2 linked regions of the Astyanax mexicanus genome follow. The protein of the gene in region 1 interacts with the protein of each later gene in a pairwise test. Links are inferred from orthologs where the notes say so. Each region holds a gene or a part of one and is shown on either strand. Other genes may lie near its edges.

Region 1 (3,930 bases):
TAGTTTTCACAAGTCAAAACAATGAAAGGTGAAAAACATGAACTGGAACAATACTGCAGAATCACCTCATACTCAAAGCTTAGGTCAGCATAATAGATTTTAAAAACTTATTTCAGTCCTGAGCAACAATGATTCATCACTGTTTTGTTTATATTATGCCAAAGGTCAAGTGTATGGTAGAACAAGTAGTTCTGTGTAATGCTGCACACTGCTGAGAGGCCATATGTGCTAAATGCTGAGCACACAGCTTGTTTTTCACTCAAATCTAGGTGGGCAATATTACATAATTAGATTGTGTAGAGACACATCAGTGCTTTACACATTTACCAACTGTATAATCCTATTACAAATGTATTCGATTGTATTATATTTCTGCAAAACAGTTATAGTTTTTATCATATTGCTCAACCCCATTCAAATGTCTAAAATTAACTTCTCAGTTTTGAAAAGAAGTCATGAGCGCACCTGAATCGTTCCTGTCCCGCTGTGTCCCAGATTTGGAGTTTGACAAATTTGTTAACCACATTAATGATCTTCGAGCCGAACTCTACACCAATTGTATGGTTTGAGTCGTCTTTGACTGCAAGAACAAGAAAAAGTATGTTATTTTTTGAAGGGATGCATAGTTTAAAAATACATCTCAATAATATTATATTGTTATTGGTAACATACATACATTTCTTTTCTATGAACTGGTGAAGGAGGCAGGATTTTCCAGTTCCTGCATTCCCAATGACAAGGAACTTGAACAGGAAGTCTGAAGAGAAAATAAGAATGGTAACATTTATTCAGAGCAGTTTTCACAATTTCACTTATTTCATAATTAGTATAAGCATGTGTTTTTTTTTCTTCACCTTACATGCAGATTTTACGATGAAACACGATGTAAACATAACCTCATTATATTTAAGTTAAGACAAATGTAAAATATGTAAATCACTGCAGTATAAAATAGTTATTTACAGGATTCTGACAGAAACAAATGTCTATCTTCTGAGATTCCCTCTGTCAGCTTCTATATGTAAATAAGTACAATCTCAATTATCCCACTTTGACAATTGCATTAAAATAATAATTTGATTAGTCAAATGTATCCTCTATGGTATGAAATATGTTTTAGGAGAGAATTTTTTGTAAGATTGGGAGCATCTGTGGCTTTGGCTACAATTATAAATAAACATTTTGATAACAAACTGATCATTTGAATAAATTGTTTAAAAGCAAGGAAGCCCCCAAACCTGCATAACACTGCCCAAAGACAAATAATGAAAAAAAAAACAACAACACTGTTTTAGTAAGTTTACAACAGAAGATACCTTACTTATTTACATATATACAGCTCTGGAAAAAAAAATAAGAGACCACTTAATGATGATATGTTTTATGATTTTACCAAACTGAAAACCTCTGGAATATAATCAAGAGGAAGATGGATGATCACAGCCATCAAATCAAGCAGAACTGCATAACGTTATCCAAAAGCAGTGTAGGACTGATGGAGAACATGCCAAGATGCATGAAAACTGTGATTAAAAACCAAGGTTATGCCACCAAATTTTAATTTCTGAACTCTAAAAGATTTATGAATATTAACGTTATGAATTATAATCTTTGCATTATTTGAGGTTTGAAAGCTCTGCATTTTGTTATTTCAGCCATTTCTCATTTTCTGCAAATAAATGCTCTAAATGACAATTTTTTTAGGTTTGGGAAACTTAAAATGCTGTAGTTTATAGAATAAATAGAATAAAACAACAATGTTAATTTTACTTAAACATATTAACACATTAAACCAACCATGTAGCTTAAGTTTTCTGTCTGTAATGCACACAAACTAAGACACTATTATCCTAATAAAAAAAGTATACAAATAAATCCAATTAACTTTTTTTTTATTCATAAAAATAAATCAAAAAGTGTTCTAAATCACAAATAATTAGTAATAATGAGCTTGTGTTACTTTGCCTCAATTGTTCTGCAGTGCTGACATGCCCTAATGTCTGAGTTGCTGATTTATTCCCAGTGCAGTGGGCGGGGCTAAACTACTGTTTCATTGGCTGGTTTATGTTATTTTCTAATGCACAACAGGTTTCAAATAGTGCACTGTGAAAAAAACCATTTGACAAAAAAACTACATGATGTCCACTGTAACTGACACAGGGTCTGAAAGGGTTAATTCCTTCCAGCCCTACCACAAACATTAAAACCAAATCTAGCTAAAGACTAACCCAAGAAAAACACAGAAATAGACCTGCATTAAATAGCTAATCCTAGTTTGAATCAGACACTAGCTAGTAAGTTAAACTATCAGTGTATTGTTTATTAACAGGCAGCTAACATTACAGCTACAGCTATAGCTACAGTAGTTTAAGGTTTGGAACAACATCCAGTAACGTTAAATTGACCTAGCAGTTACCATAACTAGCTAACTTATATATCTAACGCTAGCTAACATAGCTAGCTAGGTTAGTTATCAGTTAGCTAGCTAGATAGGTAGCTAATAAATAACGCTAGCAGTTTTGGATAAACTAAGCTAACTAATGATCCAGGCTCGGTTCTACTGCATAGTAACACCAGGCTATCTAATACACACTCCTCTTACAGCACAGCAGCGGTATTCAGGGCGTTCCTGCCCTCTCCTCACGCCCTCCTGCCCCTGTTCACGGTCTGTATTAAATTCCTCCTCTCTCCAGCTAGTAAACAGCCCGGTGTTTATCCGCGGCTGCTCCCCGGCCCTGCCTGCCTGCTACCGATACATCCCCGCGCTTAGCCTGCGATCCTTTACACCACAACAGCAGCAGCAGCGCGGTGGATGAGAGCTGAACACCTGCTATATAAACACAGCCCCGCGGACACAGCCGTGACAGCGGAATAACACACAACCCAGCGCTCCGTACCATATGTCTCCGACATGGCAGACGCTGTGGGAGTCAGGTCTGATATTTATTAGCCTCTGTTGAATCGGAGAGGATATTAAATAACGGGAAATCCCTCAGAGGGATCCGCGCATCCTGTCGGACTTCCCAGGCTGTGAACTTCCTGTAGAGATTTTCACAGTAAAAGCCTGAGAGGCTGCAGATCCGCCGCAGCGGGAGGACCTCACCAGCTAATCCCGGAGCCCTGGAATTAAATTAAATTAAATTACAGCAAAAAAAAAAAAAAAAAGATTCCGTCTTTTTACGGAGCCCGTAAGGTGACATCATGTTAAAAAAGGAATTAATGCGTGGCCACGACTTATTAAGGTGTGGGAATTAGATCTTAATGCATGGGAACGAGATAATTAATGCATTGGAACGAGATAATTAAGTCATAGCCAGATAATAGTAAAACATGCTTTTCTGTAAATTAAAGTAGAACTCTGGTGTAAATTGTGTAGTAAAACATGATAAAAAGGATTAACCTTTGTTGAATAGACCACCTCCCCTCTCCCACAGCTTTCTAAGATACAGTACTTTAAAATATTAATTTAAAAAGATGGCGGTGCCCAGAGATTAGGTTATGCTTCGAGTTGTAAACAGTGTTTTTTAATAAGCTTCTTGTGCACTTTTAAAGTTTCTAAATGTTTTGTTTTAAATGTCAGGGCTCTTCAGATTATTTATGTGCAGGGGCAAAATATGCCCCATATCATCCATTCTAAAGCATGTTTGGACTAACTGCAAACAATTTCTGGATCTCAGACAGCTGCAACTGTTGAATTGGTTTCTTTTTATTTTCATCTTAGAATAAATTATGGTGATTTTTTGGAGTATCTTGCGGTGAGACATGGTATAATTCTAAATAGAAGACACTTAATTCTTATACCAAAAGCTGACGGGCTCAGGCTTAAAACAGTATGCAGACATGTTTACCTTACTTAGTCAGGCATATTGCGCACAACCCCTGACAGCTGCTTGCTTTGTTAGCTGTGAAAACCTTAACAGCCTTAATGGC
Region 2 (3,930 bases), on another chromosome or scaffold:
ATAACTGCTGAACTGTAATTCAGTCCAGAGTTCACATCACTTGACTGCACTCTGGTGCTCGTGAAAAGCAGGTGACCAGGTGAACTGAGTGGTTAAATATAAGGTGATGTGGAGTCATGCGCAGGTTTACTGTTACTGCTACAGTTACTGCTTAGTTAGATATTAGCGAGACGGGTGGAGTTTCGAGCATTGTCTTTAGGCCACTTATTCCATATTTAATATGCCAGGTAGCGGTCAGCTCTATGCTGCTGTTATTAAAGTAAATACGTTGGAACAGTATCACAGGTGCTGTGTGAGAGTAAACACTGTGTGTAGTGTGATTAGGAGATTAATGTATCAGATCAGCCGGCCTTACACAAAGTGTTAAGTTAAGCACAGCAGATCTAATTCCCTCTATATCTGGAAACAACTTGATGTGAACATGTAAACATATTAGTAGACAAAACCCTAGCCATCAACATATCACTGTTATATTTCAGTATAATACAGTGGAGTGACAATCCTCAAAATTGATGATGGATAATGTCCAAAATAGAGTGATAAAAAAAAAAAAATCTAAAATAAACACAGACTAGTTAGGCTTACACAAATAATAAATAATGGGGGTGCGCAGAATAATTTGGCAGCTAATATCTAAAATATCTAAAAAAAAATTAGAAAAAAATTAACCAAAAAAAAAAAAAAAAAAAAAAAAAACATATAACCTATGCCATACATCTAAAAGCTATATTGATATAATTATTTTAAGTTATATCTTCTAGCATTAGGATTGTTTTTAATAATGGACAGCATGGTTAAGCAGGTGAAACAATTTGTCAATGTTGCGATATGTATCCCATCGATTACTCTGCATCATATTGTGGCATCAAATATCCATATTTTTATTGAAACATCAAATCAAATCACCTAATCAAATGAATAGGGTAAACCTGTGGTGAAGTACACTGATTATCACATCCAGTAAATCCATAATCCCTGGTGTTTGATTATTCCTGGTATTTAAGTATTTTATCCTCTTCAGTAACACAGATGCCGTGAATTATCGTACAAAATTGTCTTTTGTTATACAGAAGCAAAATCACAGTATCATCATCATCATGGTTATTTTGGGCAATGTATCATGATAATACTGTAATGTGAGCTGCACTGTGATTTCCACCCCTACATATACACTCAATGACTTAAGCACCTCTAATGTAGGCAGTCGTGTGTGTGTGTGTCTGTGTGTGTCTGTGTGTGTGTGTGTCTGTGTGTGTAAAGCTCTGTATAATCATTGCTTGTTTACCTGCAGTGTTCTTTCGCAGGTCATCAGACAGCTGGTAGTTCTGGGTCCGCAGCTCTAGCAGCTGAGCCTGTTTTGACAAAAACAAAAGCATCAAAAAGAAAATCACAAACCCATCAGATGGCATGTCATATTGTTTTGGTGTAAAACAGCTCTAGTGATCATTCTGCAGCCCAAGGCACTGATAAACGAATGTAAAACATGTAAAAAAAAAATGATCATACTGAGCACGCATTTACTGTGGCATTGTTTCGATGAGATCTTCTGCAATGTCAAAAGATTTATTTCAATCCAGTGTTGCATTAATTAATTTTTCACCAAGACCTTGCAGCAGCAGCATTGATGATGGTAGAGTCTGACCACGGTACAAAGCAGCTCTTCTCCATCCAGCACATCCCAAAGATTCTCAATGAGGTTAAGATCTGGACTCTGTCATGAACTCACAATCCAATCCATGTGTGAAAATGATAAATGATGATCTCATGCTCCCTGAACCCTGAACTCTTTCACAATTCCAGAACCTAAATCCTGGCATTGTCATCTTTGACATATTTTTGTGCCATCAGGGAAGATAAAATCCATTGATCCAGGAATGACCTGGTCTATATTCAGTATATTCAGGTAGAGTCAGCTGACCTCATTCTTACAGCACATACTGTTGCTGAACCTAAACCTGCAGACTAACTGCAGCATCAACCAACCAACACATCATTTACTTACTTAAATCCAGGTGGAGAATTGTTTTGTTTAAAAAAATTAGTCTATACTAAACAGCTACTTCTGCATGTAGAAGTGTCAGGAGTCATAATTTCAGCATCAGTATCTTCAGTTAGAGACTTCTGACTGCTTATTAAGATTATACAAGCCTTTTTTTATTATGTTAGGTAATGGAAACAATGGGGACAAATAAATTATTAGCCTTGAAGACCATGGACACGAAACTGGATATATCAGGTCAGCAGGCTGAGAAAGCTTACATTTCACCTGAAGTTCCAAGCATCTCTGTGTCAACAAAAATTGAAGCTCCATGCAGAAAAAGAGGCTTGACAGCAGTGTTGCGGAGACGTAGCGTTAAAGTGAAGGAACTGGGGCAGTATTTAAGATATTTGTAATATTTTCTAAACAATTAAAAGCGGATTCTGAGTGTTAAATAAACGAAACAGCTGTTTGTTGTGCTGCTGTTTGGTTAGCTAGGCTAACATAATTAGCTAGGTCTCTAGGCTTGCTAGCTAGTTAGCGTTTGCTAACGTTACAATAAGCTCGAAAATCTGACTTAAACACCTTTATCATGCAATTAAAACCACGGAGTATATAAGATAAGGGGTAAAACATGATATTACGCCACTCTAAAAGTTTATAAACATTTTAATTTTAATATTAGCAACCTAAAAAGCTTGAGTGCTAACCGGTGGGCTGGACTGAACTAAACTAGGCTAAGCTAAGCTAACTAGCGTTAGCTAGCCAGCGCTATAACGTAAACACACAGCAGCAGCAGTCAGCAGACTGTAGCTAGCAAAGCTAAGCTAAGCTAACTAGCTAAAGCTAACATAGCTAGCTACCAAAATACAGGAGGGCCCTGTTGACCAGATTACGCCCCTTTTTCCCCAAAATCCTGCCTAAAATCCAGCGTAAATCCCTTCAGCAGCTCCTCTACATTACAGTTTAAACCCCACAGCCGCTGTTAACCAGCACACAGAGCCACAGAGCCATAAACTCACCTGCATACGGTGGAACTCCTCTTCTGACAGAGCCTGCGCCATCTTCACCCGCAGGAACCAGGAGGAGTTCAGTACCGAGAGAAGCAGGTCCACCGAGAGGGGGTGCAGAGGATCCACACACTCTCACACAGCAGCAGCTTCTTCACTCACACACTCATTTTATTATACGATTTACACAGTTTTACCCTGAACATGCAGCATGTGGGAGGTAAGAAAGCTGAAAAATCTTTTACTGTGCAAGATTGCTCTTGTTTTTGTTTTATAGGTCTTTTATAGGTCTAATTTAACATCAGCCACAGCTCACCTGCCCAGCAGGGGGCGTAGGGGAGACCAGGTGAGGCTGTAACACAGTTTTGTAATTTTTCCAATAAATCAAAAATATTTTATGCTGGAGATTAATTTACACTGACGTATAAAAGCCCATTACCCCCACCTAAAATAATAAAAAATAATAATTAGTAATTATTTTGATAGGCTAAGTCGTTAATTTGAGATAGTAGGTCATTCTTTTGAGATACTAAGTTGTTATTTTGAGGTAGTAAGTCATTATTTTAATATTTTAAAATATTATTTTATTTTGAGATTTTAAGTTGTTATATTGAAATACTATCTCATTATTTTGAGATAGTAAGTCATTATTTTGAGATACTAAATTGTTATTTTGAGATAGTAAGTTATTACTTTAAGATACTAAATTGTTATTTTGAGAAATTAAGTTATTACTTTGAGATAGTAGGTTGTGTTGAGGAACTAAGTAAATATTGTTAAGTTGTTATTTTGAGATACCATATCATTATTTTTAGATAGTAAAATAATAAAAATAATAATTAGTAATTATTTTGATAGGCTAAGTCGTTAATTTGAGATAGTAGGTCATTCTTTTGAGATACTAAGTTGTTATTTTGAGGTAGTAAGTCATTATTTTAATAT

What was found.
Region 2: the proteins of rab4a (region 1) and gripap1 interact in binary tests that used the Homo sapiens proteins (3 or more experiments, as listed by UniProt). The link is inferred for Astyanax mexicanus from reciprocal best matches to the Homo sapiens genes RAB4A and GRIPAP1.

The regions. Positions count from the first base shown.
Region 1 is NC_064414.1:38,733,536-38,737,465, reverse strand, and holds the start of rab4a (ras-related protein Rab-4A), read right to left. Parts: upstream 3,047-3,930; 5' UTR 2,914-3,046; coding exon 2,898-2,913; intron 758-2,897; coding exon 677-757; intron 581-676; coding exon 466-580; intron 1-465. UniProt on the Homo sapiens protein: The small GTPases Rab are key regulators of intracellular membrane trafficking, from the formation of transport vesicles to their fusion with membranes.
Region 2 is NC_064419.1:3,022,636-3,026,565, forward strand, and holds the start of gripap1 (GRIP1-associated protein 1), read right to left. Parts: upstream 3,090-3,930; 5' UTR 3,043-3,089; coding exon 3,001-3,042; intron 1,353-3,000; coding exon 1,286-1,352; intron 1-1,285. UniProt on the Homo sapiens protein: Regulates the endosomal recycling back to the neuronal plasma membrane, possibly by connecting early and late recycling endosomal domains and promoting segregation of recycling endosomes from early endosomal membranes.